3 linked regions of the Ovis aries genome follow. The protein of the gene in region 1 purifies or fractionates together with the protein of each later gene. This does not show direct contact. Links are inferred from orthologs where the notes say so. Each region holds a gene or a part of one and is shown in the gene's direction. Other genes may lie near its edges.

The links.
Region 2: the proteins of GOLGA7 (region 1) and ZDHHC5 purify together in Homo sapiens (co-immunoprecipitation; 3 studies listed by BioGRID and IntAct, with this or other methods). This does not show direct contact. The link is inferred for Ovis aries from reciprocal best matches to the Homo sapiens genes GOLGA7 and ZDHHC5.
Region 3: the proteins of GOLGA7 (region 1) and CLDND1 purify together in Homo sapiens (affinity purification with mass spectrometry; 3 studies listed by BioGRID and IntAct, counting the BioPlex papers as one, with this or other methods). This does not show direct contact. The link is inferred for Ovis aries from reciprocal best matches to the Homo sapiens genes GOLGA7 and CLDND1.

Annotation. Positions count from the first base shown.
Region 1 is NC_056079.1:35,764,268-35,768,419, forward strand, and holds the start of GOLGA7 (golgin subfamily A member 7), read left to right. Parts: upstream 1-1,329; 5' UTR 1,330-1,375; intron 1,376-1,428; exon of another isoform or gene 1,429-1,489; intron 1,490-1,704; 5' UTR 1,705-1,726; coding exon 1,727-1,837; intron 1,838-4,152. UniProt on the Homo sapiens protein: May be involved in protein transport from Golgi to cell surface. The ZDHHC9-GOLGA7 complex is a palmitoyltransferase specific for HRAS and NRAS.
Region 2 is NC_056068.1:79,735,578-79,739,227, forward strand, and holds part of ZDHHC5 (palmitoyltransferase ZDHHC5), read left to right. Parts: intron 1-2,223; coding exon 2,224-2,381; intron 2,382-3,481; coding exon 3,482-3,650. UniProt on the Homo sapiens protein: Palmitoyltransferase that catalyzes the addition of palmitate onto various protein substrates such as CTNND2, CD36, GSDMD, NLRP3, NOD1, NOD2, STAT3 and S1PR1 thus plays a role in various biological processes including cell adhesion, inflammation, fatty acid uptake, bacterial sensing or cardiac functions.
Region 3 is NC_056054.1:163,729,590-163,732,129, reverse strand, and holds the end of CLDND1 (claudin domain-containing protein 1), read left to right. Parts: intron 1-326; coding exon 327-464; intron 465-587; coding exon 588-808; 3' UTR 809-1,994; downstream 1,995-2,540. UniProt on the Homo sapiens protein: Plays a role in negatively regulating the permeability of cells to small molecules.

The DNA of each region.
Region 1 (4,152 bases):
GAAAAGACCCTGATGCTGGGAAAGATTGAGGGCAGGAGAAGTGGACAACAGAGGATGAGATGGTTGGATGGCATCACCGACACAATAGATATGGGTTTGGGTGGACTCAGAGTTGGACAGGGAGGCCTGGCATGCTGCGGTTCATGAGGTCACAGAGTTGGACACGACTGAGCGACTGAACTGAACTGAACTGAATCAAAGTTATGGTTTTTACAGTAGTCATGTATGAATGTGAGAGTTGGACTATAAAGAAAGCTGAGTACTGAAGAATTGATGCTTTTGAACTGTGGTGCTGGAGAAGACTCTTGAGAGTCTCTTGGACTGCAAGGAGATCCAACCAGTCCATCCTAAAGGAAATCAGTCCTGAATATTCATTGGAAGGACAGATGCTGAAGCTGAAACTCCAGTACTCTGGCCACCTGATGTGAGGAACTGACTCATTGGAAAAGACCCTGATGCTGGGAAAGATTGAGGGCGGGAGGAGAAGGGGATGACAGAGGATGAGATGGTTGGATGACATCTCCGACTTGATAGACATGCATGTGAACGAGCTCTGAGAGTTGGTGATGGACAGGGAAGCCTGGCATATTGCATTCCATGGGGTTGCAAAGAGTTGGACAGGACTGAATGACAGAACTGAATAGGCACACAATTTAAAACATGAATTGTTTATTTCTGGAAACTTCCATTTCATCTTTTCAGACTGAGGTTGACTGAGGGGAGAGGCGGTAACTGAAACCTGAGAAAGCAAAACAGAGGATAAGGTGGAATAGTGTATCAGCCAGGCACACCAGGGCCTTCTGTGGTTGCCTTGCAAAGGTATGCTGAGCTGGGGGAGGGCGCCAAGGGCCCACACAAGCCTCTCAGGTCACCTGAGGGGCAGAGGCTGGGGTACTAGGTAAAAATCTTTGGGGTGAAAGGAAAAGACAACACCTCCAGGAAAGCTGGAGGAGGGGATGCGGGTGAGCAGTTTGTTTTGTACGGTTGAGTGGTTTCTCACGTGTAAACTGAGAGTTCCAATCAAAAGCGAAAATAAAACCTTTCAGTCAGTGATTAGAAACTCTGTCCGCACGACAAAAGAGGAAATGACACAGCAGGGAAATGACACAGGGCAGAAATCCCCAGCCTTTAGGCCAAGTACCCCCTGGTGAGCTCAGTCTGCAAGGGCCCGCAGCCCCGCCCCCCGGGCCTGAGGACCCGCCCCCGGACCCGCCCCGCAGCCCCGCCCTGCCTCTTCCTTCCAGCCGGACTCCTACGGGCAGGGCGGGGGGCGGAGTCCGCCCGGGCCCCGCCCACAGCGCGTCCCCGCAAGGTAGCGCGCAGTCTCGACAGGATCGCTTTACGGCCGGAGGAGAGGGTGGGCCCTAGACTTGAGGTAAGTGTTCGAGCAGAGGGGCGGGTAGGTGGAGCGCGGGGAAGAGGCCTTTTGCGGCAGGACGTAAGTGGAGGCGTAGGCGTTGCGACAGCAGCTGGAGGGCAGAGGAGGCGGGTTCGTGTTTCCCGGGCCGAACCGGGCTGTGGGGGGGCGCGGGGCCTGGGCCGGGGAGGGAGCTGAAGGGCCGTGGTGCCAGCATGGGTGAAGGGGAGTGGGGCCGGGAGGCCTTGGGCCGCTCTGGGCGCTGGGCGGATCTGTGGGGCTGGCGGGCCGGAGTCCTGGGTCCAGGCCGGGGGTATGACCGTGATTGGTGTCCCCCGAACCCGCAGCGCGGCCCGTCCTGTCCTCGCCATGAGGCCGCAGCAGGCGCCGGTGTCCGGGAAGGTCTTCATTCAGCGAGACTACAGCAGTGGCACCCGCTGCCAGTTCCAGACCAAGTTCCCCGCGGAGCTGGAGAACCGGGTACGCAGCCGGGCTCCCCGCACCTGCGCTCGGCCGGGGCGGCGGCAGGGTGCGCGTCTGGGAGGGGCCGGGCACAGCAGGGGCCTGGGCCAGGGCTGTGCCAGGACGGGTCTGGTAAGCAAGACCCGGGGTCGGGAGCAGGAGGAATGAGGCCAAGCGCCGGACCGGGTGACCTGACGATGGCCAGGGCCGGAATCGGTACGCTGCCGTCCTCCCCACCCCACCGCGGGTTAGTGACCACAGTGATGAGGCGCTTGATTCCTGACCCTCCAGGCCACCCACCTCGGCGTGTTGTGTAAGCTGCATTCTCCAACCTCACCACGCAAAGGAGATCACCATCATTCGAGTGACGGGCGTCCGGCCGCTTGTGCTGGTTTATTATTCGGTGCTGTGCTGGGCACCGCAGACAGGCCTTCTCCGAACCTTGAGAAACACAGAGTAGTGCATGGGTCTGGACACGGAAATAATCTCAGAAGGAGGCCCTCAACTGGTTTCTTTTGCTGTTATCGCTGGGAGCCGACTTTTGTTGGCCTGTGGGCCAGAACTGTCATCAGAATGTGGGTCCTTTGGGCGGTCTTGCTCGCAGGAAGGGGTGTTTCTCCTTTCTTCAGACTTAATAAAAAGAATAATAATGGTCATTGGATCTTACTGTAAAGGTGCAGCGAAGTGAGACTATGTATGTGTTTTCTTGTGCCTAAGTGTGTTCACACACCCAAAGACAGACTGGTCTTGAGGTTTGTAAGGTGAACCTGTTTCCTGCTCAGAGGTCAGCTTCTGGTTAGATGGGAGCAGGTTTTGCGGTTCTTTTCTCTTTGACAAGAGGGTGAGGGAGTCAGGGGTGATTGGGCATGGGTGTGGAGCTGTGAAGTGCTGGCCGTGGAGTGGGTAGGTGTCGATGAGTATGTGCTGGAGCGATGTGCAGCAGTCATTTAAAATTAGCTTGTGGGGTGGTAGGTCGTTCTACCTGATTGCCAAGGCGGGATAATCAACAAAGATCAATGACAGTGCGCTTTGGCTTGATTTCGAACCCTCAGCAGGTTAGTGGCCCAAGTATGTTTCTTTAAATGCAAATTAAGGCCCCAACACACCTTATAAAGATGATTCCTAGATTAGTTTGTTTGTGAAATATCCTGTAATTGTTGCAGTTTGTTGTCGCCAAGTTATGAGATAACTCAGCCTGACACTAGATGGACACCTCCATGGTGGTTTGAGAAGATAGAAATTGAGCAAGTTGCCTGTTGGCTAGAGCTACTGAATGTGGTTTTTAAAATAATTTAGCATTACAGTTAACAGGCTTTTTTAGTACTTATATGAAATAGATCAAATGTTTCACTTTTAAGTCTCTTAGGGAAACTGACTTAATACTGTTTATGTGCTTTCGGATCAGAATGTAAACAGCTCTTTTGCCCCACACTCATTTGGATGTCACTTGATGCTTTGTTTAAAGGATTTAAAAGTCAAACTTCCAGCTCATAATTGAGCCAAGTCTATTTATGCAGAATCAGACATGAGCCTTCAACTCTGTGTGTGGTGGAACCTTTATTTTATAGTCTGAATACAGAAACGGTGCAGTTACAGTACTCCATGGATGGCTATAGGAAGTTGCTCTTGGCAAATTCTGGAGTCCCTTTCGTTTCTCTGACTTCGTGTAGCCCAGCACCACTTGTGATTCTTAGTACTATGTGTGTGTGTGCTTAGTCGCTCAGTCAGACTCTTTGCGACCCCATGGATTATAACCCGCCAGGCTCCTCTGTCCATGGGGATTCTCCAGGCAGGAATACTGGTGTGGGTTACCATTTCCTTCTCCAGAGACTCTTCCCAACCCAGGGATTGAACCCAGGTCTCCCACATTGCAGGCAGATTCATCTGAGCCACTAGGGAATCCCAAGAATACTGGGGTGGGTAGCCTATCCCTTCTCCAGGGGATCTTTCCGATCCAGGAATTGAACCGAGATCTCCTGCATTACAGGCAGATTCTTTATCAGCTGAGCTACCCTTGAAGTTTTTTTTTTTTTCTTTTTAAATGTTTGTGTTAAAACACTAGCTTATACTTGAAACTGTTTGAGAAAGCTTTGATTTTTTTTTAAGTGTGTTGAGATTAAATTTAAATTACAGGTTTAAATTTTCCTTGCTTTGTTTGATGGAAAATTGAAAGGTTTCTTACTTTGTTTCTCTACTGCTTAACCTAGAAATTGTACTGATTGCGCTGCCACTGAGGCTGAGTTTCCCTTTGTGAGAACGTCGTACTTGGCAATGTAATAGAGGGAGAAATAAACATCCAGCTGTTTTGTATGACTTTAAAGCATTAAACACAC
Region 2 (3,650 bases), on another chromosome or scaffold:
GACTCTGCGTGTCCGCTGCAGGGGCACGGGGTCGGGCCCTGGTTGGGAAACCAAGATCGCAGAGCTTCCATGGCATGGCCAAGAAGAACCCAGCGCACACCCAGGAATCTTTAGTTTTTGGTCCTTCTGTGCAGCTTGTGGGATCTTAGTTCCCTGACCAGGGATTGAACCCAAGCCCCAGCAGCAAAAGCGCCGAGCCCTGACCACTGAACCACCAGGGAATTCCCAACAAGAACCGTTTTAATCATGTGTTTACGTATGTGGGAGAGAGACAGTGAAGTTACCGAGACTGCAGTTTGGAAGGCAGGGAATGGGACATGAGGGAGCAGCGTCCTTGAGGATTAAGGTTTTTCTTTCAAGAAGTTGAGCAGAGAAGGCAGGAGTGTCTTGGGAGAGAAGGAAGGGTCTCGTTTGTTCGTGATGCAGAAGGCGTTACGTGGTGGTAGCATGAGGAGGTGGAGCCAGAGGGGAGAGAGGCTGAAGCTGAGGGAAGCGGGTAACTGAAGAGTGGCCGGGAGGAGGAGCGGCTCCCCTCTCCTGGGGGAAGGGTGCTGCTCACAGAGCTGGGCTGCTTCAGGCACAGGAGGCGAGAGTGAGGCCCAGCATCGCTGGAGTAAGGTAGAGAAGTGGCTGCTGCTGCGGGCGTCTGACTTTCTCTCGCGTGTGCGGTTGCCTCGTGGAAGAGGCTGGGGCTGGGCAGCTGCAGCGCGGGGAGGTGTCTGAGACTCGCCGCTCTCAAAGCCCATGTCGCCGTGCTCTGCGGCTGCTGTGTCAAAGGCGACCGTAGTAGGAGGCGCGTTGAGATCCTAGCGCCAAAGAAGGCTGCTGTACCAAGGTTTAATGGCCATTTATCAAATATTTACTGATGATTGTGGTCATTCGGGATTTTTTTTTAAGGTCCTTGCTTTCAAATAGCTTAGTCTAGAAGGGAAGATAGGGAAGACATTTACATAGATGTATACACTGGGGACTTTTAAGAGGAATCAAAAACTGTAGAACTGTAAGAAGAGCAAGAGCTCACTTCTGACAGACGATGGTGTGGAAGAATCAGTTATTTCAAACTAAGTAGTGTTTGAATTTTTTCCTTAAAAAAAATAGAATCTTCATAATGTAGAAAGTATAAAATAGATAGTGAAAGTCGCTCAGTCGTGTCCGACTCCATGGAATTCTCCAGGCCCGGACGCTGGAGTGGGTAGCCTTTCCCTTCTCCAGGGGAGCTTCCTGACCCAGGGATCGAACCCGGGTCTCCCGCATTGCAGGCAGATTCTTTACCAGCTGAATCGCCAGGGAAACACGCAAAGTGGGTGAATGTCACCTGTGATTTCACAGCCCAGGGATAACTGCTGCTACATTGCCATCTGTTTTCGTTCAGTCAGTGTTCTGAAGACTCACGCATGCAGTGCTCCTGCGCACCATACACCTGCAGCACACGTGTGCCCGTCGGTGTTTGTTTCCAAATGGGACCTTTTAGTTTGTACCGCCCTTTACCTTGTCCTTTTCACTTAGTTACATTGTGAGCATTTCCCTTAGTCAGTGAGTTTGAAGACTTTAATAATCGCTACACCATCACTTACTTAATTTTTCCTTCCGACAGGTATTTTTTTTTTAGATTAAGAATTTAAAGTAATGGAAATTGCTTACTATAGATGAAGGCAAATAATGTTTCAGTTTTGAAGTGGGGTGGTGAGTTTTTTGTTTTAATAGTAGATTTACAGTGTTGCATTGCTTTCTGCTGTGTGAGTTTCTGATAGCTGAAAACTGAAAGGGCGTTCAGGGAAAGAGAGTGTCTGGAACCAAGAACAGTACTGACATGTGTAGGGGGTCAGGGGAAGACCTCTGACTAGGGGCTTTGTGCACGGAGAGAAGGTTCACACTAGTTCGCTTCTCCCCATTTGGGTTTCTGTAGCTCAGCCGTGTACTTGTCAATATTGAACTGTTATGCAGACTCATTATATATGTGCTTTGATATGTAAATCATCTATTTCTTTTGAAATATATTCATAATATGTAAACCAAGAATCCCAGCCTATCCATATCAGAGCCGCCTCTGAGTCATCCTCTTCCCCGCTTTTCCCAGCGTAGAATAAATTACTTCCTCATTTCCATGGTGGTGTGTATAGAGCTGATCGCCGCATTCCTTGACGGCAGCGTCACTGCGCCTGTCCCCAGGGCCTAGTACAGTTGCGGCACCGCGGTGTTTTCAGGAACGTTTCCTCTCTACAGCTGAAGAGGATGAAGACAAAGAAGACGACTTCCGGGCGCCACTATACAAAACCGTGGAGATCAAGGGCATCCAGGTGCGCATGAAATGGTGCGCCACCTGCCGCTTCTACCGGCCGCCCCGCTGTTCCCACTGCAGCGTCTGCGACAACTGCGTGGAGGTGAGCGCCGCGCGACGCCTCCCCCAGGCCATCGGCGGCCGCCCGCGGCATCGGGGCGAGTCCTGCGGGCTCTGGGCCGAGGCCGGCTCCTGGGGCTGTTCTCGCTCCGCCAGAGTGCTGGCAGCCGTGTACGTGGAGAGCCGTGTATGTGCGTGTCCTGCTGCGGGCGGGACCCCGGGTGGGCAGGCGCAGGCCCCCCACACCCAGCCCCAGCCCCGGCCCCGGCTCACCTCCTTGGCTGCTGGCCCTGGCCCCGTGCTCTCTGTCTCCCACGCCACGCTGCTGCACTCAGGTTCTACAGCAGGGAGCTGCTGCGGGCCCACCATCCGGCACAGGGCGCTCTGCTCAGGGCCCTGTGTGCCCTCGGCGGGCAGGGCCCACACAAGGCGGCCCATGGCTACAGACGGCTGCTGCGCTCGCTGTACAGCAGGAGCCGGCACAGTATGGTAAAGCGCCTATACTCGGATAAAAATTAAAAAATAAACGTGCAATTTTCAAATTAAAAACACAAAAAAAATTGTATAATTTCTCTTTCTGTCCTGCATTCCTTGTCCTTTATTTTTAACCCTTTTCCCAGTCCATTTTTACTTGGCTATAAGCAGTTGCCTACTAGATGTTTTTTCCAAAGAAAAATCTTAATGTATCCTCAAGCCTCTGACGTTTGTGCCTGTCAGAGCTCCTTGGTCACATAGGATAAACTGTGAGAGATGGCCTTGGCCTTTGATCAACCTCTGGAAGGTCTTTGTTACAGATTGATGTGTTAAGTCACTTCAGTCCTTCCAGTTCTGTGTAGCCCTTTGGACTGTAGCCTCCCAGGCTCCTCTGTCCGTGGGGTGCTCCAGGCCAGAGCCCCGGAGCGGGCTGCTGTTTCTTCCTGCAGGGGCCTTCCCCACCCAGGGATGGAGCCCGCGTCTCTCGTGTCTGCCTTGGCCGGCGGGCTCTGTGCTCTTCTCCCCCACCCGGGAGCCCTCCAGAGCGATAGATAAGCCGCAGGAGCCTGTTGTTACATTTTGCAACCAAGTGGTGAACGTGATCACACGTAGCTAAAGCGGCGTCTGGTTCCGTCAGCCGTGGCCCCAGCCTGCCCTGTCCGCCCGCAGGAGTTCGACCACCACTGCCCCTGGGTGAACAACTGCATCGGCCGCCGGAACTACCGCTACTTCTTCCTCTTCCTCCTCTCCCTGACGGCCCACATCACGGGCGTGTTTGGCTTCGGCCTCCTTTACGTCCTCTACCACATGGAGGAGCTCTCTGCGGTCCGCACAGCTG
Region 3 (2,540 bases), on another chromosome or scaffold:
CTTTCAGTTTGCTCATTTATAAAATGGAGGTAATAGTGCCTTCTTCATAGGGATGTTGGGAGGTTTAATACACAAAGCATGTATAGAACAGTGCCTGATACACAGGAAGCCCTTAGTAACAGTTAACTATTAGTGTCTTTTTGCTTTTGTCAGAAGAAAGTTAGCACTGTTTTGAACAATGTGCTTTAGGAAAAAAGCCTTAATATTAAAGTACCCCATTTTCACTTTTTGAGAAAAGTTCTGATAGAATATGAAAGAAATTGCCATTGTGAGAAAACTGAAATGGTAACATTTCATTTCTCTCTCTCTCTCTCTTTTGAAATCAGATCTTTGGCGTTGCCAGTTCCTTTTACCTTTTGTTAGTCTAGGTTTGATGTGCTTTGGGGCTTTGATTGGACTTTGTGCTTGTATCTGCCGAAGCTTGTATCCCACCATCGCCACAGGCATTCTCCATCTCCTTGCAGGTGGGTCTCCTTCAAATTTAGTTTTACCTCCTTGTTGCCTTAGGGATCACCTGTCGCTGCCTTTTATCATGCTCTTATCTAGCTATGTTGTTTTTTTTTTTTCCCCCTAAAATTTCCTCCAAGGTCTGTGTACACTGGGCTCAGTGAGTTGTTACGTTGCTGGAATTGAACTACTCCACCAGAAACTGGAGCTGCCTGAGAATGTGTCTGGTGAATTCGGATGGTCCTTCTGCCTGGCTTGCGTGTCAGCTCCCTTACAGTTCATGGCTTCTGCTCTCTTCATCTGGGCTGCTCATACCAACCGGAAAGAGTACACCTTAATGAAGGCATATCGTGTGGCATGAGTGGGAAGCTGCCTGCTTTACAGTTGCCATTTTTATGATTTTTTTTTATATTAATATTGTCCCTTACCTCCCCCTGAATTGTTTTTAATTTAACTTTTTTTGTGTGGATATATCATTTTATCCTGAAAACCCATTTTATTTATTCATGCAGACAGTTGTTTCTCAACACAACTAAAATTTAAATGGAACCTGGGTAATTCCATCTTTTAGTCAAACTAATCTAGGTTCAGAGTCCAGACAGAAAAAAATGGGTAGAGTCTTGGCACAAATTTGTGAGGAAAATTGGTAGTAGGAGGTTGACCCATAGCAAGTTCTGCTGATGTCTATTAGACTTTTCGGTAATGTAACTGTATCTGTTTAACTGGAACTTACAGTTTCTTTGGGAAACCTCTTATTGACAAAACTTATATTCACTTTGCTATTGTAGACAGCCAGTCAGCCAGAGATATTAGTGCTGTCTTCAAGGACTTTGGCTATCTAAAATAAGGAAATCATCTAAGATCCTTTTCCCTAAATATTGGCATACAGTTTCATCTGAAGTGAAATACTACAGTTTTTTATCTGTACACTGTCTGTTTAAAAGAAAGGGAGTGTTTACGTGGAATTTTAACTTTGTTAACTATAAAAATTCCAGTTCAGCCAGTCAGGACGATTAACCTTATTTTACTTTTTTTTTTTTTTTAAATCTTTAATATGTCAGTAGGATTTCCAGTATCAGCAAACCTTTCTGGATTTTTGTTCCTTCTCTCCTCACACACCAGAGTTATTACAAGACTGCTTTGTTTTAAATAATACATTGAGGTCACCGAGTAAAATTTTCCAACTGCTGTTTATTTCAGCTAAGTACCATAAAGAAGGTTCCACCGTAATGACCCTCCAGAGCTAGAACTACCACAAGACCTAAGGCTTTGGCTGGTCATTAACTTCCGACTATGGTCTTTATCTCTTGTGGTGGAATGATGTGCCTTTCCTTGCCTAATCCCCTCCTGGTGTGTGTCAGCATTATTTAATGTCTTCTAATTCAGTCATTTTTTTATAAATACGTCTATAAACATTGAACTTAAAAAAAATCTTATTTATTTATTCCATTACTGTAGTACTTGACAGATTAAAAAAAAGTAACAGTAATTTCTTACAAAATCCTAAATCTGTCTTTTTTAAAAAATAAAAAATGAGAAGAGACTCAGAGTTGTGTATAGTGTCTGAGTTTATTAAATTTCAGTACCTTAGGATAAAACGCACTATAGGATTCTGAATGAGGATTACTGTGATTTTCTGAGGGAAGTGCATTGTTGCTCTGAAGGCCTGTCTTTATGTCTACTGTTTGGGTCTCTTTTTTTATCTTCTAGAAAATGTGGGATGCCTCCACTAGAAAATAAGACTATTTTTTTTTAATGTTTCAGTTTTAAGACCTGTTTTCAAAGTATCATGTATTATGTATCATGTATTATGATACATATCATGTATTATGATAATATTATGTATCATTGCTAATGTGGCTAGTTTTTTTTTTCCTGTTTTTTATCTTTTGGCAGTGCCACATGGCAGGCGGGATCTTAGTTCCCCTGCTAGGGATCAAACCCCTTCCCCGTGGATTGGCTGCTCAAAGTCTTTACCACTGGACACCAGGGAAGTCCCAACATGGCTAGTTTTCGTAAAGTCATTTAATGGCTGGTGGATGTTTATGTTCCATATTAAATAATTAAGTCAGCTTCTGACTTAAAGCCAATAT